Linked DNA regions of Lytechinus pictus. The protein of the gene in region 1 purifies or fractionates together with the protein of each later gene. This does not show direct contact. Links are inferred from orthologs where the notes say so. Each region holds a gene or a part of one and is shown in the gene's direction. Other genes may lie near its edges.

What was found. The genes of interacting proteins can lie anywhere in the genome.
Region 2: the proteins of proteasome subunit beta type-3-like (region 1) and proteasome activator complex subunit 3-like purify together in Homo sapiens (affinity purification with mass spectrometry; 4 studies listed by BioGRID and IntAct, with this or other methods). This does not show direct contact. The link is inferred for Lytechinus pictus from reciprocal best matches to the Homo sapiens genes PSMB3 and PSME3.

What each region holds. Positions count from the first base shown.
Region 1 is NC_087257.1:9,034,870-9,043,178, reverse strand, and holds the start of proteasome subunit beta type-3-like, read left to right. Parts: upstream 1-4,846; 5' UTR 4,847-4,934; coding exon 4,935-4,937; intron 4,938-7,205; coding exon 7,206-7,390; intron 7,391-8,309. UniProt on the Homo sapiens protein: Non-catalytic component of the 20S core proteasome complex involved in the proteolytic degradation of most intracellular proteins. This complex plays numerous essential roles within the cell by associating with different regulatory particles.
Region 2 is NC_087257.1:14,471,709-14,479,687, forward strand, and holds the start of proteasome activator complex subunit 3-like, read left to right. Parts: upstream 1-4,645; 5' UTR 4,646-4,786; coding exon 4,787-4,810; intron 4,811-6,655; coding exon 6,656-6,688; intron 6,689-7,711; coding exon 7,712-7,774; intron 7,775-7,979. Other genes in the region: uncharacterized protein LOC129275040, read right to left, coding at 307-1,811. UniProt on the Homo sapiens protein: Subunit of the 11S REG-gamma (also called PA28-gamma) proteasome regulator, a doughnut-shaped homoheptamer which associates with the proteasome. 11S REG-gamma activates the trypsin-like catalytic subunit of the proteasome but inhibits the chymotrypsin-like and postglutamyl-preferring (PGPH) subunits.

The sequences.
Region 1 (8,309 bases):
ACCATTACTACATAAACCACAACAAAACATAAAAAATGAAGAAGCAGCGGCTTGATTTGAATGGGTTTTTATCTCTATTGACACAGACAAAATCATCATGTTCTTTATTGACCCTTCATGACTACTTCTGCTCGTTTTGCTGCTTTTCAATTCAGACCTCATCCAAAACTTTTGAATCCTGCTCTTTTCGTGATGGCATGATTATAACAGGCATTGTATAATTTTAAAGAAAATTAAATGATCTTTTAAATGATATCAAATATGCATTGTGTTAAATTGGGAGTTGGGAGAAATTAATGGCCAAACTCAGATTTCCAAACTTTTTTTGAGGGGTTTATATTATATTCAAAGACAAAATAAACATTGATGGCACTTTTTTGTTTAAAGTTTTCAATTTCTTAAGTGAAAAAAATGAAGAAAAAAAAATCATTGATGAGGGGAAGTTATATACAGTATATCTAGAAGTGATTAGATAGTAACCTCGGGTCCTTCAACGAGTGTGTCCCCCCCCCCCCCTTGCAAACATACCTTTGCTAAACACTTTCATTTTCTTTTTCTTCTAGGTTTACTTAGTGCAATTTTTAAATATATTTCATTGCTCGCAATCTTCGGATAGTTTTTATAAGTTATGAATAATTATAGTCCCTTGCAGTGAATTCTAATTATGTTTTCCCAAGAAATTTGTTTTTAAATGCTTTATAAACGTAATTTCTATATTCAATTTTTACACAAAATTGGGATGGGGTCATCAGGCCAGGGGTCGGGCGAATCAAGGGCCGTGCCCCTCCCATATTGTCGGCTCATAAAAGGAAGGAAAGTATTTTGTCTTGTTGTTTCTTCTACTCCTACTGTAACTACCAACTTAATTACAGTATTACAAATACTTATCGGAGGCTTCAAACTGATATACTTTTGAACCAGGCAATTTAATCTATAATAAGCTTTATCCACCTCCATGTCTGGATCACTGATGGTCTGGATCCCATTGTTTTGCACTCTAATGTAACTCGCCACAGATGGCGCTATTCCATTACAGAGAGGAGAAAAAGAAATAGATAGATAAAACAAAATTATACGGGAAAAAAGAAGAAATTTCATGAAGTAAGGCGAAGAGAATAATTTGAAAGAAAAAAATTTTGTTCGCTATTCAATTAAGTTTTTGTTATTCTACATCAGGGAAATTACGGGCCCTGTTCATGATTACCCCCCCAAAAAAAAAATCAGCTCGCGCTACGCGCTCAGATTATTTGATTGGTGAGATATGTACCCTTTTTCATGAATCACTGCAAATAGTCCTTGTTGAGTCCTTTTCAGGATGTCAATATATTGAAGAAAAAAAAACAGTTTGCGATTCGCGCTATTATGTACAAGCACAGACTATACGCATCTTGTTCATGATTAGGCAGAAAAAAGGCTGCTCAGAATATTTAATTTTCAGCTGTGAATAGATGAAATAATGAACTAGTGAAAAAATAGCTCACGCTTCGTACGCTCTCATTATTTATTCAAAGGACAAGTCCACCCCAACAAAAAGTTGATTTCAATAAAAAGCGAAAAAACAAACAAGCATAACATTGAAAATTTCATTAAATCGGATGTAAAATAATATGGCATTTTAAAGTTTTGCTAAGTTTCACGAAACAATTATATTCACATCCTGGTCGGTATGCAAATGAGGAGACCGATTGCATTCATCCACTCACTATTTCTTTTGTATTTCATTACAGCATGGAATATGAAAAATCTAATTATCTCCTCATTGTCATCAGTGGCGTAGCTAGGATATTTTTCCTGGGGGGGGGGGGGCACAATTTTTTCCGGTGTGTGTGTATGTGTCACAAGGGCGGATCCGACTTTCGCCAATAGGGGACGGTGCCCGAAATTATCTTCACCTATATTTTCCCCGATCAGTCACTTCTCAGTTTTATTCTTATAAAACAACATAAACATGAAATAATCTCATAAGCCTTATAAAAAAGTGCGAGCGCGAAGCGCGAGCGATTTTTTTTACTTTTATGTATTTTGTCCTGAAAATTTGATATTCTGGGCAATGATATGTGTGATCCTGAACAAGATATGTATGTAAGATGGTTACTGCGAACGCCAAGCGTGAGCAGAAATTTTTATTAACTGTTCTAGCATTATCGAAAAGGGACCTGTCAAGGAAGACGGTATATATTTCAATAATGCAAGCGCAAAGCGCGAGCAAATTTTTTTGACATTCCGACTTTTAAAAAATGGTCATTCTAAGCATTTTTTGTATTAATAAATGGGATAGGTATGTAACTAAACAATTGATGCGAGCGCGAATTATTGATATTCTGATGTGAAACTGGATAATTTAACTACATTTTAAATAAAGAACATGCAGGCTATCGCGCATGTTTTAGATTTAGACCTAGAATCTGGGCATTCTGAATACATTTGTTTAATGGAACATTATGGAATACACGTAGCCGGGACACGTAGACAATATGAACTTGGCAAATCAAACAATGTGACCACGCAGCGTGAGCTTAATGCTGATATGTAGACCATAAAACGGACATTTTACAGAGCACTTAAATTTGTAAATGAAAAAAAATAATGAAAGCTCGATGTCCTAGCTAAAATATGTTTTGTATATTGACTTCAAAGCTTGCTCCATATCAGCCTATTGAGCAAGATATGAATCTCATCGAACAGGCAATTCTGGCGCGAAGTGCAAGCAAAAATTGTTTTTTTTTTGCAAGTCTTCCCCTCACATTATTTCATTCACTCGTCTTCCTCTTATTTTTTTTTCTTCTTCTTTTCCTTTTTTCTTTTCTTCTTTCTCCCTTTTTTTGCTCTGCCATTTTTTTCAGGGGGGGGGGCACCTGGGGGGGGGGGGGCACACCAAAATAAATCTCAGGGGGGCACGTGCCCCCCAGGCCCCCCCCCGTAGCTACGCCACTGATTGTCATGTGAATCGAAGTTTTATTCCTTTCTGAACACAGTACTGTACAAGCTGTAATTTTCGCGGGGGTTTTATTTTCGCGGATTTCGCGAATTGCCGATCGGCCGCGAATTTAACAACACGCGAAAATATTGACACACTTGTTAGTCAGTGCCAATGTCCCCAACAGCAAAGCTTTGCTATTGAAAACATACTGTGTAGTGAGAAAATGGAGATATGCACCTCTATATGTACAAAAAATAAGGCTTAGAAAGTACAGTTAGTGATTCAAAAAGTTAGCTAGAATTTCACTTTTTTTAATTTCTAGTATGTGATTATCAATGTTTCAACATTTTGTGGTTCAGACAAAAGGGTCATTATTGTCAAATCTGTAAAAAGAAATGAATATTTCACAATTCAAGCAATAAAAAATAAAATAAAATAAATAGATAGTGAGTGAAGGATATCATCAACGCTTTTATTTGCATAGAGCCAATATCCATGAGTTTTGTGAGTAATAAGCGTGACTTTAAAATGCCATCATGATATATTTCTTATTTCACATCGGATTTGGATGAAATTTTCAGGGTTAATTGTTATGCTTCTTTTATTTGTCTCTTTTTATTCAAATCAACATTTTTTTGGGGTGGACTTGACCCTTTGAGATCTTGGCGAATAATAAGGCTAAGATGAATGAAACGTCATTCTCTGGTTAGTACAGCCCTCTAAACGCGGTAAAAAAAATTAAAATAAACTTTTTAGGCGTCAAATGGGGGAAATGTTGATAATAATATTTTTACCCCCTCACCAACACTAGCGTCATTTTAGTGAGCAAACAGTTTTAAGGGGCCAGACATGCCGTATAGGGCCAAATTAATTTGGAAAAATATGCGAGAGAGCAAATTTTTTTATATTTTTATTACCAAAAGAAAATTTTGTGATAGATTTTGACATGATATTCAGATAATAATTTTAGATTTTCCTTCTCTTTCATTTTTTTTTCTTGGTCGTGATAAATTGGGGGCCCCCATATCTACCCTCTCATATAATTACTTCTTCTAAACCGTTACCCGTCATTATCATTAGTCTGTAATAGGCCTACTATACCTTTTCTCACTATGTCAAATAAAAAAGTTGGTTGATAATCATATGGGTGTTAGCAAACGAAATTGGTGTAACCTTAATGGGAATTAGACGAATAATGGGCGTATAATGAAATTACGCTGCGTCGGATGGGGGGGGGGGGGGGGGGGGGGGGTGATGGCAGGATCATAATAGCTATCTTTTACCATATAAAATTGCCATTATAATTGCAGGTACCCACCTTCGAGAAATGGCCCTAGAAATCGCTTGTCAAGGACCTTTATCAAGAAGTTTATGAAAAAAACAAATCGAATGCTTATTGGGAGGAAAAACAGGTTTAAAGTCAGTCAGAGGTATGGGATGGGGACTTTTGAACACTCACCCACCATTAGGAATCGTCGCAATTATTTTTACCCATTTTCTTAAAGGTCAAGACAGTCTAACTTCCATCAACGCTTGTGACTTGAGATCCCGGCTTTGAGATATATATATATTTTTTAAGGCTATTTAAAAAAAAAAAAGTTTAAAATGTCATCGGGCTAATTTTCGTATCTTACAAGATGAGAAAGCCTACTATATAGGCCTACGAGCAATGAGAGGAAAACTGAGATTAAGGAAGAAGAAAAAAGGTGAACATGGATAAATAAGAAGAATAGAAAAGGAAGAGGCAAAGAAGAAGAAGACGAAGAAGAAGAAGAAGAAGGAGGAGGAGGAGGAGGAGAAGAAGACGAAGAAGAAGACGAAGAAGAAGAAGAAGAAGGAGGAGGAGGAGAAGAAGAAGAAGAAGAAGAAGAAAGAGATAGAAATAGAATATTTCATGAGTGAGCCCTCTTTGTCGAAACAGAGAAAGTCTACAAACGATCGTGAATTGACACATTTTAGGAATTGGAAAAAATCTGTCTTGTTTGTGGCCGGGGATACAAACAATCTAGGCATAATGGTAAGAAATGTGATTGATTTTAAAGTCAAGTATTTGCTTTTAAATGCCTTTGATTTGAGAATGTAAGACATGTATTTATTGTATAAGAAAGAAGAGCGAACGAAGTTTGACTTTAGTTTTAGTTGACCTGCGAGAGCATGACCGTGTCTCGGGGTGGCGTCGGGGAGTCTCTACCGCGATGAATTCGAGCGAGTCTCTCTCGAAGTCCGCTGCGGCGGAGCACAAGTCAGATGAAGATTCTGCCTCGGGCGAAGTAGCCTGGAGGCGTCTGGGGAGTAAAAGTCATCTACTCTACGTAGGCTTACTCCCCACTGACGCCTGGGACGCCAAGGTATAATCACGCACGTACGGCCACAAAACCTGAAACTATCGCCCCTGAGATTTCTACTTTCCCTCTAAAACTAAAAGATCTAGCCCTAGACCTAGTATAACCCAGAGAGCTCCAGCCCGCGTAGCGTAGCGGGCTGGAGCCCAGACGCTCAGTGTGCAAACGGGCATTCAGGTGAGAGTACCGTGAAGTTTGGTCAAAATAATTTTGATAATACATAATTAAAACAGAAATTAAGCACTTACCACGATTGTATGGATGATAGTCTAACGAGTGGCAGTTTCCTGACATCGAGGCACAGACTGGAACCTCAAAAAACGATCAGTTCTGTCGCGGTAGCTCTCCTCTTTCAGAATTCAACACAAAATGGCCGATCGAGACCGAGGCTAGTATAGCACTAGCGCATATAGACTTTGTCAAATTCGCGCATGCGCCCTACACCCTCTCGAACGGCCATTTTGCTATGAATTTTGAAAGAAGGAGAGCCACCGCGACAGAACTGATCGTTTTTTGAGGTTCCAGTCTGTGCCTCGATGTCAGGAAACTGCCACTCGTTAGACTATCATCCATACAATCGTGGTAAGTGCTTAATTTCTGTTTTAATTATGTATTATCAAAATTATTTTGACCAAACTTCACGGTACTCTCACCTGAATGCCCGTTTGCACACTGAGCGTCTGGGCTCCAGCCCGCTACGCGGGCTGGAGCTCTCTGGGTTAGCCCTAGTAGTAGTATTATAAAACATGTAGGCCTACCGGTACATGGGTTCACTTCAACTTCATTTCCAACATTTCTGCGATATCAATTTCGTTTTTAAAGAAGAATTAGGCCTAATAAAAAAAACGAGAAAAATGTTATGAAAAGATGGGAAGAGCTCACGGCCGTGTTTACGTCGCCATCTTGATTTCTTTGTCTTCCGCTTGGCGACAGCACGCAAATCGCGTTAATGTTATTCATTGTTAAAATTATATTAAAAAAATATAACGAGAAAGTAAAATAGCTTAATTTCTTACTCTTCACCCGTATTTCACTCCGTGTCCATCCTCCGGTTATCCTCAAAATTGGTGATTTTGGGCCAGTATCTTTTTCCTCACACGTATATAGCGATAAACCTTATTGACTTCAACGAGTGCACACACACACTGACACGCGAGAAGAGAGGTGACTAATTGCATGATACTAAGGCCATAAAACCGGTAATCAAATGGGTAAATTGGTCTAAAAACCATCTAAAAATATTGCCACAAAGTCATTACCATGGATCATGTTTAGCATGACAAATTATGGACTGTACTCGGGTGCTGGACCATCAAATTAAATGAAAAAAAAATGATAAAATTAAAAAAGCAACAACAAACAAGCAAGCCCCAAAAATGTGTCATCCACTTAAGAAGATAACTAATGTTAATTTAGACCATGGTTAATGTTATCAGAAGTTGTCTTTGGTCCTTTTCTATTTATTTTTTTTATTGTTTTTTTTACGTTAGAGAGAGTGAAATGCTCTTTTTTGCATGTGTGTGATGGGAACCCGGCCGTTTTTATGCATGATCCACTTAAAATCGAAGATTGAGGAATTTGAGGGTCATCTAGTCTTTTCTAGATTGTTTCATTTGCCAAAATTATCAAGTTTTTTTTTTATTTGTAAAGAAATCGGGGAGAATAATAAGAAAGATGAAGGGACTCAAAGTCAGTCTGCACTTATTTTTTCAGAATTGAAAGAAGAAATAAAAGTCTGGGTTTTAATTATGGTCGGCCTGGTACAGCAAACAGTTTTTTGTTTTTTTCCTTCACAAGGATTGTTTTAGAAAATGAGCAAACAATGTGTGCATGCACCTTTTAGCCAGCCAAAGCCATTTGAAAATAGTTTTCCAGGTTTTTGTTTTGAACGTTTATTTCTTGCCACACTTACACATTTTCTTATACATTTTCTTATATTTCAGTCTATTATGTCATATAACGGCTCGGCCGTTGTGGCCATGATAGGGAAAGACTGCGTTGGGATCGCGTCAGATCGACGGTTTGGAGTACAAGCTCAGACCGTCTCGATGAACGCACAGAAAATCTTTGAGATGGGACCAAGGCTTTATTTGGGAATCTCTGGGCTAGCAACTGATATAACTACAGTGTAAGTATGGAAATGGCAAGACCTCTGTATCATTCATACATAAAACACACGTTAACATTTTTATGCTAATTCTAAAAAAGGCATTCATTGACAGAAACTCTTAATTTGGAGATGGCAAGAGCCAAGAATATCATAAAAGATGACACTTTTAAAGTGGAATGGATGTACATGTAAGCTAGTAACAAAGTGATTAAAATCTGAACGAAGATAAAACATAAGCTGTTCATTATCAAGTTCATTACAGGCTATGTTTTACTATCTTGGATGTGCCTTTGTCTTATTTTTTCAATTATTCCCATTTGTACTGGTAGAAAAGGTATAGAAAAATGGCCCTGTCCTGTAGATTATTGGAACCTACAATTTGTTTATTACCCATGGGTATGTCGGACAAGCCTGCCTTGGGCAAAATGCTACAGTTATCGCAAGAAACTTGTGATCAATTTGCAAGTTGTAAAATTGCAACAGAACTTTGCAATTGATCGCAAATGTATTCTTATAACACCCTATAATTAGGTGGTCTGACTCTGACAGATCACCTCTTAATTTCGTCAGAATTTTCTTTCTTTATTTCTTTATTTCTTTCTTTCTTTATTTATTTATGTTTGTCGCCAACTTTTCTCCGAATTGGCTGAATCAATTTGGCTGATTTTTCTGTCATATATAGTCTATCATAGAGACGGCATACTAAGCTTTTCAAAGTCATCTGGTCATGATGACGTCATCTACGCGCCATTTTGTAAAATTCTTAATTTGATCATATCAACATAACGGATAATCAATCATATTTACATCAAATAAACTTTAGGTCAAAGGTTGTCTGTCAATGTCATCAAAGGTCATGTAAAGGTCATGACGCACGCGTCAAAGCTAAACAAATTCTCAAAATGGCCTATAAAAATTTTGGGGTACTTTTGTCGCC
Region 2 (7,979 bases), about 5.4 Mb from region 1:
CATTTCACGTCCTGAATTAGATTTGTAATTTTTCGTTAAAGGGGTTATTGCATATTATGTTTTAATTGGCTATATTCACGAGTAAAAATTTATTCTACTGTACATAATACACTCTAAAAAGGGTTTACCCAATATTGCGTAAAATGGGAACATGCATGTTGGTTGGGTAAAAGATATCAATATTTTGTCAAGAAATAACCAAATATGGGTTAAAAAAAATAAAAAATACCCAGCAAACATGCATATTCCTTTTCCACCCAATATTGGGTAACATTTTACTCGGTGTTTTAGAGTGTATATAATTACCCATTTTTTACGAAGTTGGTCCAATATTGAATCATAACATCACGAACTGACTCGGACGTACTTCCAGGAGGAGCATTCAAAGCCGTCTCTCTGCCGAAAATCGAATCCCAGAGGTAGAACAATTCCTCGCCCTGAACTGCCCTGTTTGGATCCCGGAGAGGGTCATCTATCAGTCTATAGTTTGTGTCCACGTAGTCAAAGTAATACAGATATGCATTTGTTTCGGTGCTCCTCTGGTGATTGCGCAAGAGTTGAATGGTTTTAGAAAGGTAGGACCGGTCAGCGTACATTTTAAACATAAAGCGTATTGCGCTTTGCGTATCTGGGAGATCTAGAAGAGGGCCATCGTACCTGTAATCGATGGCCTCCATTGTAAGTAATGCCTGGTCATCAGTTCTATACCTCTGCCTAGTATCGTAGTAAACAAAGTTCGATACATCCTGGACAGTCTGAAATGCCTCATTGACATCGACGTACCCATTTAAGAGCGCTGCCCCTTCGTCACTGTTGACTCCCATCAGAATGTCATATTGGTGTAAAAGATCCATATCTTGTAGATTATCGAGGGTACGTGGAAAGAAGAGCCCATCAATCCGTGGTTCAAAGTAAGCACCCCCGAGAGCGGTGTAATCGACAGCTACGATTTCTTCCCATGTTTTATTCCGAAGACAAGCTAGATTTTTTGTCCATGATCCTTCAGTGCAGTTCAGGGTATTAATGACGATATTGGACAACCTCCTAGCCTGACCCTCGGAACTGATATAGGAAGCATCGGTTGATGTGCTGCTCTGGATAATAGCTCTTTGGAATAGGTTATTATCGTTTAAAGGAGTAAGAATCTGAGCTACAACTCCTGTAGCTCCCTCACGCCCTTGGCCAACAATGGTAATCATACTCCCGTCACCATTGAAAGCTCCGATGTTATCCCGCACCCACTGTATGGCAAATCTTTGATCCCAGAGTCCGTAGTTCCCCGGTACCGTGTCATCCTCCGTGCTGAAGAAGCCGAATGTGAGGAATCTGTAGTTGATGGTGACGACGATGATGGAACCTTTGACGGCCATATCCCTCCCGATGTACTCCGATCCCGAATAAGCTCGGTACCCTCGACCTGGTATGAACAACATGACAGGCAGTTTGTTATCTTCAGTTGCTGCTGGTGGTACAAAGATGTTCAAGAAGAGACAGTCTTCGCTTATCAACAGATCATCAAGATCTTCCACTGGTGATTGTGGACAGGCAGCGCCAAAAGTCGTTGCATCCAGTGTTCCGTCCCAAGGAAGCTTGGGTCGTGGACGAGCAAATCGAAATTCTCCCACTGGGGGTTCTGCGTAAGGAACACCCATGAATTCTTCCATTGCGTTGCCGTCAAAGTCATAACTGTTCCCTTCGACCTCTCCCAATCCAGCAACGTTCACTGTCACTTGAGCAAACGAAACATGAATGTCGATGATGAATAAAAGTAAAAGGACAGTAACCAGATGAGATGCCATGACTAGCAGCATTGGTAAGTCATCGACATCCACAACATTTAAATAGCTTTGAGTGGTCGCTTAATAATTTCTGCGGAAACTCTTCAAACCTATATATGCAACCTTTCCCGGATTTCTATGTGCCACACCTTTGGAAGATAAACGGTGATTGGTCAGTTATAACTGCTGTTTCACTGTTTGATTTCACCCTTTTGTCTAGAGGAAAATGATCACCGCAGGGACAAAGTACGTGGTATTAGCAAACATTCCGACACGTCTGGCGCGAAATGACTCAGCATCGTGTAACGTAGTCATATGGTAGTGCAGATCTCTGCATACAACTTTGAAAAATATTTATGAAATCAAATAGCAGGGGGTAAATATTGAATCATCCGAGAGGCACTTGTTGACCTTCGCATGCTTTATTATCCTTCTTCTCAGTAAAGCAGGAAAGTTATACATTAAAAAACCCCGAAAACTTCCATTTTGTAGAATAGATGACGAAATCCTTGTTAAAAATGAGATGACGTATTAATATCATACGAGCAGTTGTTCATTCACTCACGAAATTGGTTTTGAAATCCATGACTATATATATTTTAGACGATACCATCTTGAATACATTAGAAAGTAGGCTATGATTGATAACGCAAAGACAGCGAAATGTAAAGATAAAAAAACAAAACAGAAACGAGTCGACAGACCTTCAATAAAGTATGATAAGTGGTGAGAGTGATACAATTCTTACCACGGGAATATTAAGATTTAATTTTATTTATTCATTGAAAAAAAAAGTAATGGGAATGTAACATTGGTAAACGTAAACCCTGCATGCGATCGGATAAGCAAAAAAAAAATTACCTATGCTGCCCTTGGGGTGCCCATTGTCAGGAGGGGTGCATTCTTTTATTTTCCTGCCAACTAATTTTTCCTGTATATAATTCCCTGCTAAAATTGTCTTACAACCAAACAAGAGATCATAAAAATTATATAGGGGCGCTTACCCCCTCCCCCTCCCTGAGCAGGCCCGCGCGTGCAGTCGTGATTACTTAGGACGACTACTACGAAGCCATGCGAACCATCGATGTCACTTTCCGAGATGAATTGAATTCATTTATTTTCCATTAAAAACATGCAAAATCAAGAATATACAAACATTACAAAGTATGAAAATGAGACATTGTACAAATTACATATCATACTTTAAAAATAAATACATATAAAGGAGAAATTATATTTCACTAAAGATCCCATATTGATCTTAAAATTTCTGTGATGATGAGAGGTAAATTAGGCCGGAGCACCAAACAGTAAGTGGCGTATCTAACTTTTGTCAGAGTGAACTTCCGGTCCTCTTTAATTGATTCAGATCCCTTAACAAATATATTGAAGAAAAAAAAGAATGAAAAAACAAATTATAAAAATACATGAGAAATTTAAAAATAGGCCTACAATAAACTACATAAGAAATTAATTATGTATTGACATTCTTTTTTGGGGGGATGTTTGTTAGAAATGTCAAATTTATGTTTTCACCAAAAATAAGCATTCTACAAGCAATAATATGAGTTAACAGCAAAATGTATTTTCAGACACTAATTTGCATCATTTATTTTGAAATATGAAGTTTTAACTTGTTGAAATTTTTCTTAACATTTGTAGTTTCAAAAACCTATAGGCATATATGGGGGTGCAAATTTTCGCCAAACAGTCTGGCAAACTGACACTAAACATGGTGTGAAAAGGCACAGTTAAAGAGATCGATGCATACTGCGGACTGAAAATAGTATAAAAATTCACAAAACAAAATATGATGAAAATTTCATCAAAATCTGATAATAATAAATAGCAAAGTTTTGGCGTATGTGCATGCCAGGTCTATGTAATACATGAAATATCGAGACATTATTTCTCCTATTAATCCTCACCCCCATCGAGCCCTTTGTCAAAAGCTGTATGGATCCGCCCCTGAATAAAAATTCACTTAAGGCGGACGAAAATCCCCCCCCCCCCCCCCCATTGCGATCGACATTGCCAGAGCCGCGCATGTGCGCGCTGCCGAGGTTGTCTGTCCAAGTCAATATTACACGTATAGTCAATAGAACCAAATCTGCCGAGGAACCAAATCTGCAAACATCAAGCTGCGTTAAACCTGGCGGATATGGTTCCGATTAGGGTTGGTGTTGGAGTTAAGTTGGCGCTCTTCAATCTGGTAGATTATCTGCGCCAGGTCGTTTCCGAGTTAGCTGCTTAATTCCCGCATCAATGTCCTCGGCGTTAGACTAGTCTGACCTGTCATATAGCGAGGTGCAATATAATTATGATTAGTTACCACCACCATTAAATTGTGCGTTTTTGTACTTCATAGTATGCAAACTTATATAAGAAGCTAGGTCGAAGCTCAATTTGAGTAGTCTAAGGATTGTCACTAATCATCAGAACAAAAGGAAGAGAGAGAGAGAAAGAGATGGAGAGAGATCAGTGGAATATTCTTATTCGAATCTCTTTGTTTTTTTCCACGTAATTCAGGATAACTTTATAATCTGCATTTCTTCCCAATAATGTTGCTAGATATGATATTGGCTTGTTTAATTTCAGGCTTCTTTGCATAATTCTCCTTTCTCTTTCATTTTTCTTACATTGTAGTAAAAAATGTTCTATTGTCTCAGGAACCTGACAATGGGAACATAGACCATTTTCATGTTGATTAGATTTATACAGATAATAATTCAATTTACATTAAAAACGATATCGGCCATTTAGAACGATATCTGCCGGCGGATACGGTATCCGCCGGTGGAACCAAATCCGCCGCTACACCGGCTGTAATTGCCCTCCCCACCCCCCCCCCCCCCCCCCCCTCCGATCCCCTATCGATAAATCTCGAGCGCGATATCGGATGCGCATGCGTGACACATGTGTTAATACTTAATGGTCGGTGAAAGGCATCTGCTGGCGTAAAATCCCTTGATTTTGACAAATATTGGACTAAGAATTAAAATATCACCATGGCTACTGATGAGGTACATGAGGTGAGATTGAAATTATAAAATTTTTCATGTTTTATTCAAATAATTGGCAAGAAAATTCTAAAGGACCGAGTATGCAGGTTATTCATCACAGTCCCGTACTATCATATCTGCGTGGTATTTCTGGTAAACGAGCCACATAACGTCGACAACAACGTTTTTATTTTATTTAGTCTATATCTAACAAGTTAACTGTTAGACAGTATAGGGGCGGCCCAGTATAGGCTTAAGTTATAGATCTAGTCTACTGCCCAACTTTAGCAAAAGGAAGCAAGTGATGCATCAGTCAAGTTTGAATTATTGAACCGGCCGTCTCCATGCCATGCCATGCCAGGCCATGGTCTCTGACGTGTTAATCAATTGTGGGGATTGGGATTCTGGCAAGAAACCGGGAGGGGGGGGGGGCACTCAGACAGCATATAATGCGTGGTGGTGGGTACATGCATGTGCCGCGGAGACGACCCCCATTTTTACACTCCTATTCCTAATAAATTTCCATTCAAAGTAGGGTGTCTGAAGCCACACTGAAAAGTGTCAGCATAAAACAGGCTAATTTAGGGGAAAATATGGCACATTTTTTCGGGGAAGTTCAGGCTACTAGAAAAATGTGATCTGAATTGATTATTAACTTGTGTTTGGCATGTATGGAAAGAGAAAATTCAGGGGCTTCTTTTGACAGTAAGGACAAGTTTATGTGATCATTTGAAATAAGGATTTAGAGATAAATTGCTAACCCTTATTTTTGTGTGTGTTGAGATTGCCATTTCTCCATGCGTTTTCTATGGGGAAATGAAATTTCTGTTTTGCACAATTTTTTTCACTTTGTCGCAATTTTTCATTGTGATCTGGTTTCCAAATCTTTATAAAAATCATACCATCAGATAGAGCATAAAAAATCCTATTGGACTCTTTATGGACAAGTTTTTGGCATTAATAATGAATTTATAACAGCTCTTGGAAGCTAAAAATTTGGATTTGTGTGTGTCCATTTCTTAACTACACAGTCTATGGCAGAGAAATGCTGAAAATTGACCTAATTTCATTCTTCTTTTTTGCAGCCAATAATTTGATTTTTTTCAAAAATGTTACATTTCTGTCAGTCTGAAGGTCATTTCTCTTCAAATTCACAAAGAAAATGTGATATTTTCTTGAAATAAGAAAAATAATTTTTTTCTCCAGACACCCTATTCAAAGGGCAAGACAACATTTTTATTCGAGAAAAAGAACAAAGAAAGTTGATCCAAGGCCTTGCCAAAGCATTTTCTTCTTATCAAGAAAAAAAGAAGAGACAAATCTGTTCCAAAGCAAATGCAAAGTTTCGCATACAATGTATTTTTTGTAACGCCGTTCCGGCCGCATTGATCCGCTACAGTAAGCTGCATTTTTGGTAGACGGCTGGCAGCCGTCTGTTTCGAGGAGTTTTTTAACATTTTTGATTTTTTTTTTAAATTTCTCCTCGTACACAGTCGACGGCTCGCTATTGTGCAGCCACCATTAGGGGGTTAACAACGTGTTGTGCTCTCATTCTAAAAATCAAGCTCTCTGTAAATCTATCGAGTGAAATTGCGATTCCAAGTTCTTTTCTGTTAGTATTTCCAATGCAAAAAGTAGATTGACAACGGTCAGATGGTCTTGATGGCGATATTGTTGAGAGAGCATGTCTACAGACTACGGGGCCACAGACATGCAGACATTGATTAGCTGGAGGGGGAATTGCCAAACTTAATTAGGACCTAGATCTGATTAAACGGGCTTAACGTTAGATCCAACTCTATCGTGTGGCAGCTACATAATAATGTTTATTTTCCTTTTTTTAGTTTCATTTTTTCTGTTTGATTCTTTATCCAGGTGACTGAATGCAAGGACAAATTACATGAAATGGTAAGATCAAGTCAGAGTCTCGTCAAAGATCCATTACTTTGTAAGGCCTGATAACCTCAACCTTGATTGCAAGAGAATTGAACAAATTGAAAATTACCTCTCTATTCTCTCGCCAGGAAAGCTAGGATAGGGGCTGATATGATTTTTTTTTAGCTTTTGATTCAATGCTCAGATATTTAATTATTGTATACTGACATTTTGTAAATTTGCATTGCAAGAGATTGATTTAGTTGAACACTTTCTGATACTAATCAGGCCTAAGACGATGTCAAAGAGTGTCCAGTATTTAATTATTGATGATTTTGTTTTGTTAAATGGCATATCATTGTCCACACATGTACTTAGTCCTTGGAGTTGCTTGTTTTAGTTTAACAAGTTAGATTCACTATTGATTCTCAATCATGTTTTATTCATATAATCACCAAGTTGAAACATTTCACAAAGCTCTCATGAGTGACTTCACTTCACAAACGAGTGGCGATCCTTTCTTGTAGTACAGTAATACTTATGTGCACCAATTTATTATTGGTGTTGATTAAGCTCCTAAAAAAGGATGAGCAGTTGTTTATAAAGTTGCTTGTAGCTTACGAATAGCTTTATGAAACACCCAAGTGGCCCTTTCAGATTGAAATTGCTGTTAATAAGCATCTGAATGCAAACTTCATTTATCTAACTTTAAATAGTAGGGAATTCACATTCGCTCCTACTTTGTTAAGAAAGGGAAAATCTGCCTTTGCTAAATCTCAAGAACTGGGGATGAAGCATCTTATATATATCACCAGTTTTCACTGATCAGCAGATATGTGCCAATCAGATGCAAGTATTTCTGTAGCCTACATGTATAATGTAATGATAAAAATTACTGACCTTTTGTTTCATGAAATGCTCCCTAAGTGTGCATAATTCATGATGCATAACTTAGGAACAGCTTTATGAAACAGTCCCCAGTGCAATAATGTTTGAACTTCAAGCAAAAAATGATCATAATTTTTCATTTTTCTCCCTTTTTCTATCGCCGATCAGTCAGAGAATCTAGTGAAAGTTGTGTTCCCCAAGAAGATTCGAGAGTTAGGGGAATTAGTAGAGGTGAGAATTTCTTAAATTCTTTTGGTAATTGTTCTTGATTTCATTCATATTATGCATCTCCAGCTCTATCGTTCAACCCCCTCCCCCTTACCCTGTCGCAATTGGTCGATCTGTCGATTTTTAAACCATTTGTAAAACTCCTCTTAATGTTGCTTGAAATCTAAATTGCCTCTTACATCAGTTGCTTTTCTCAACTGTATGGTAG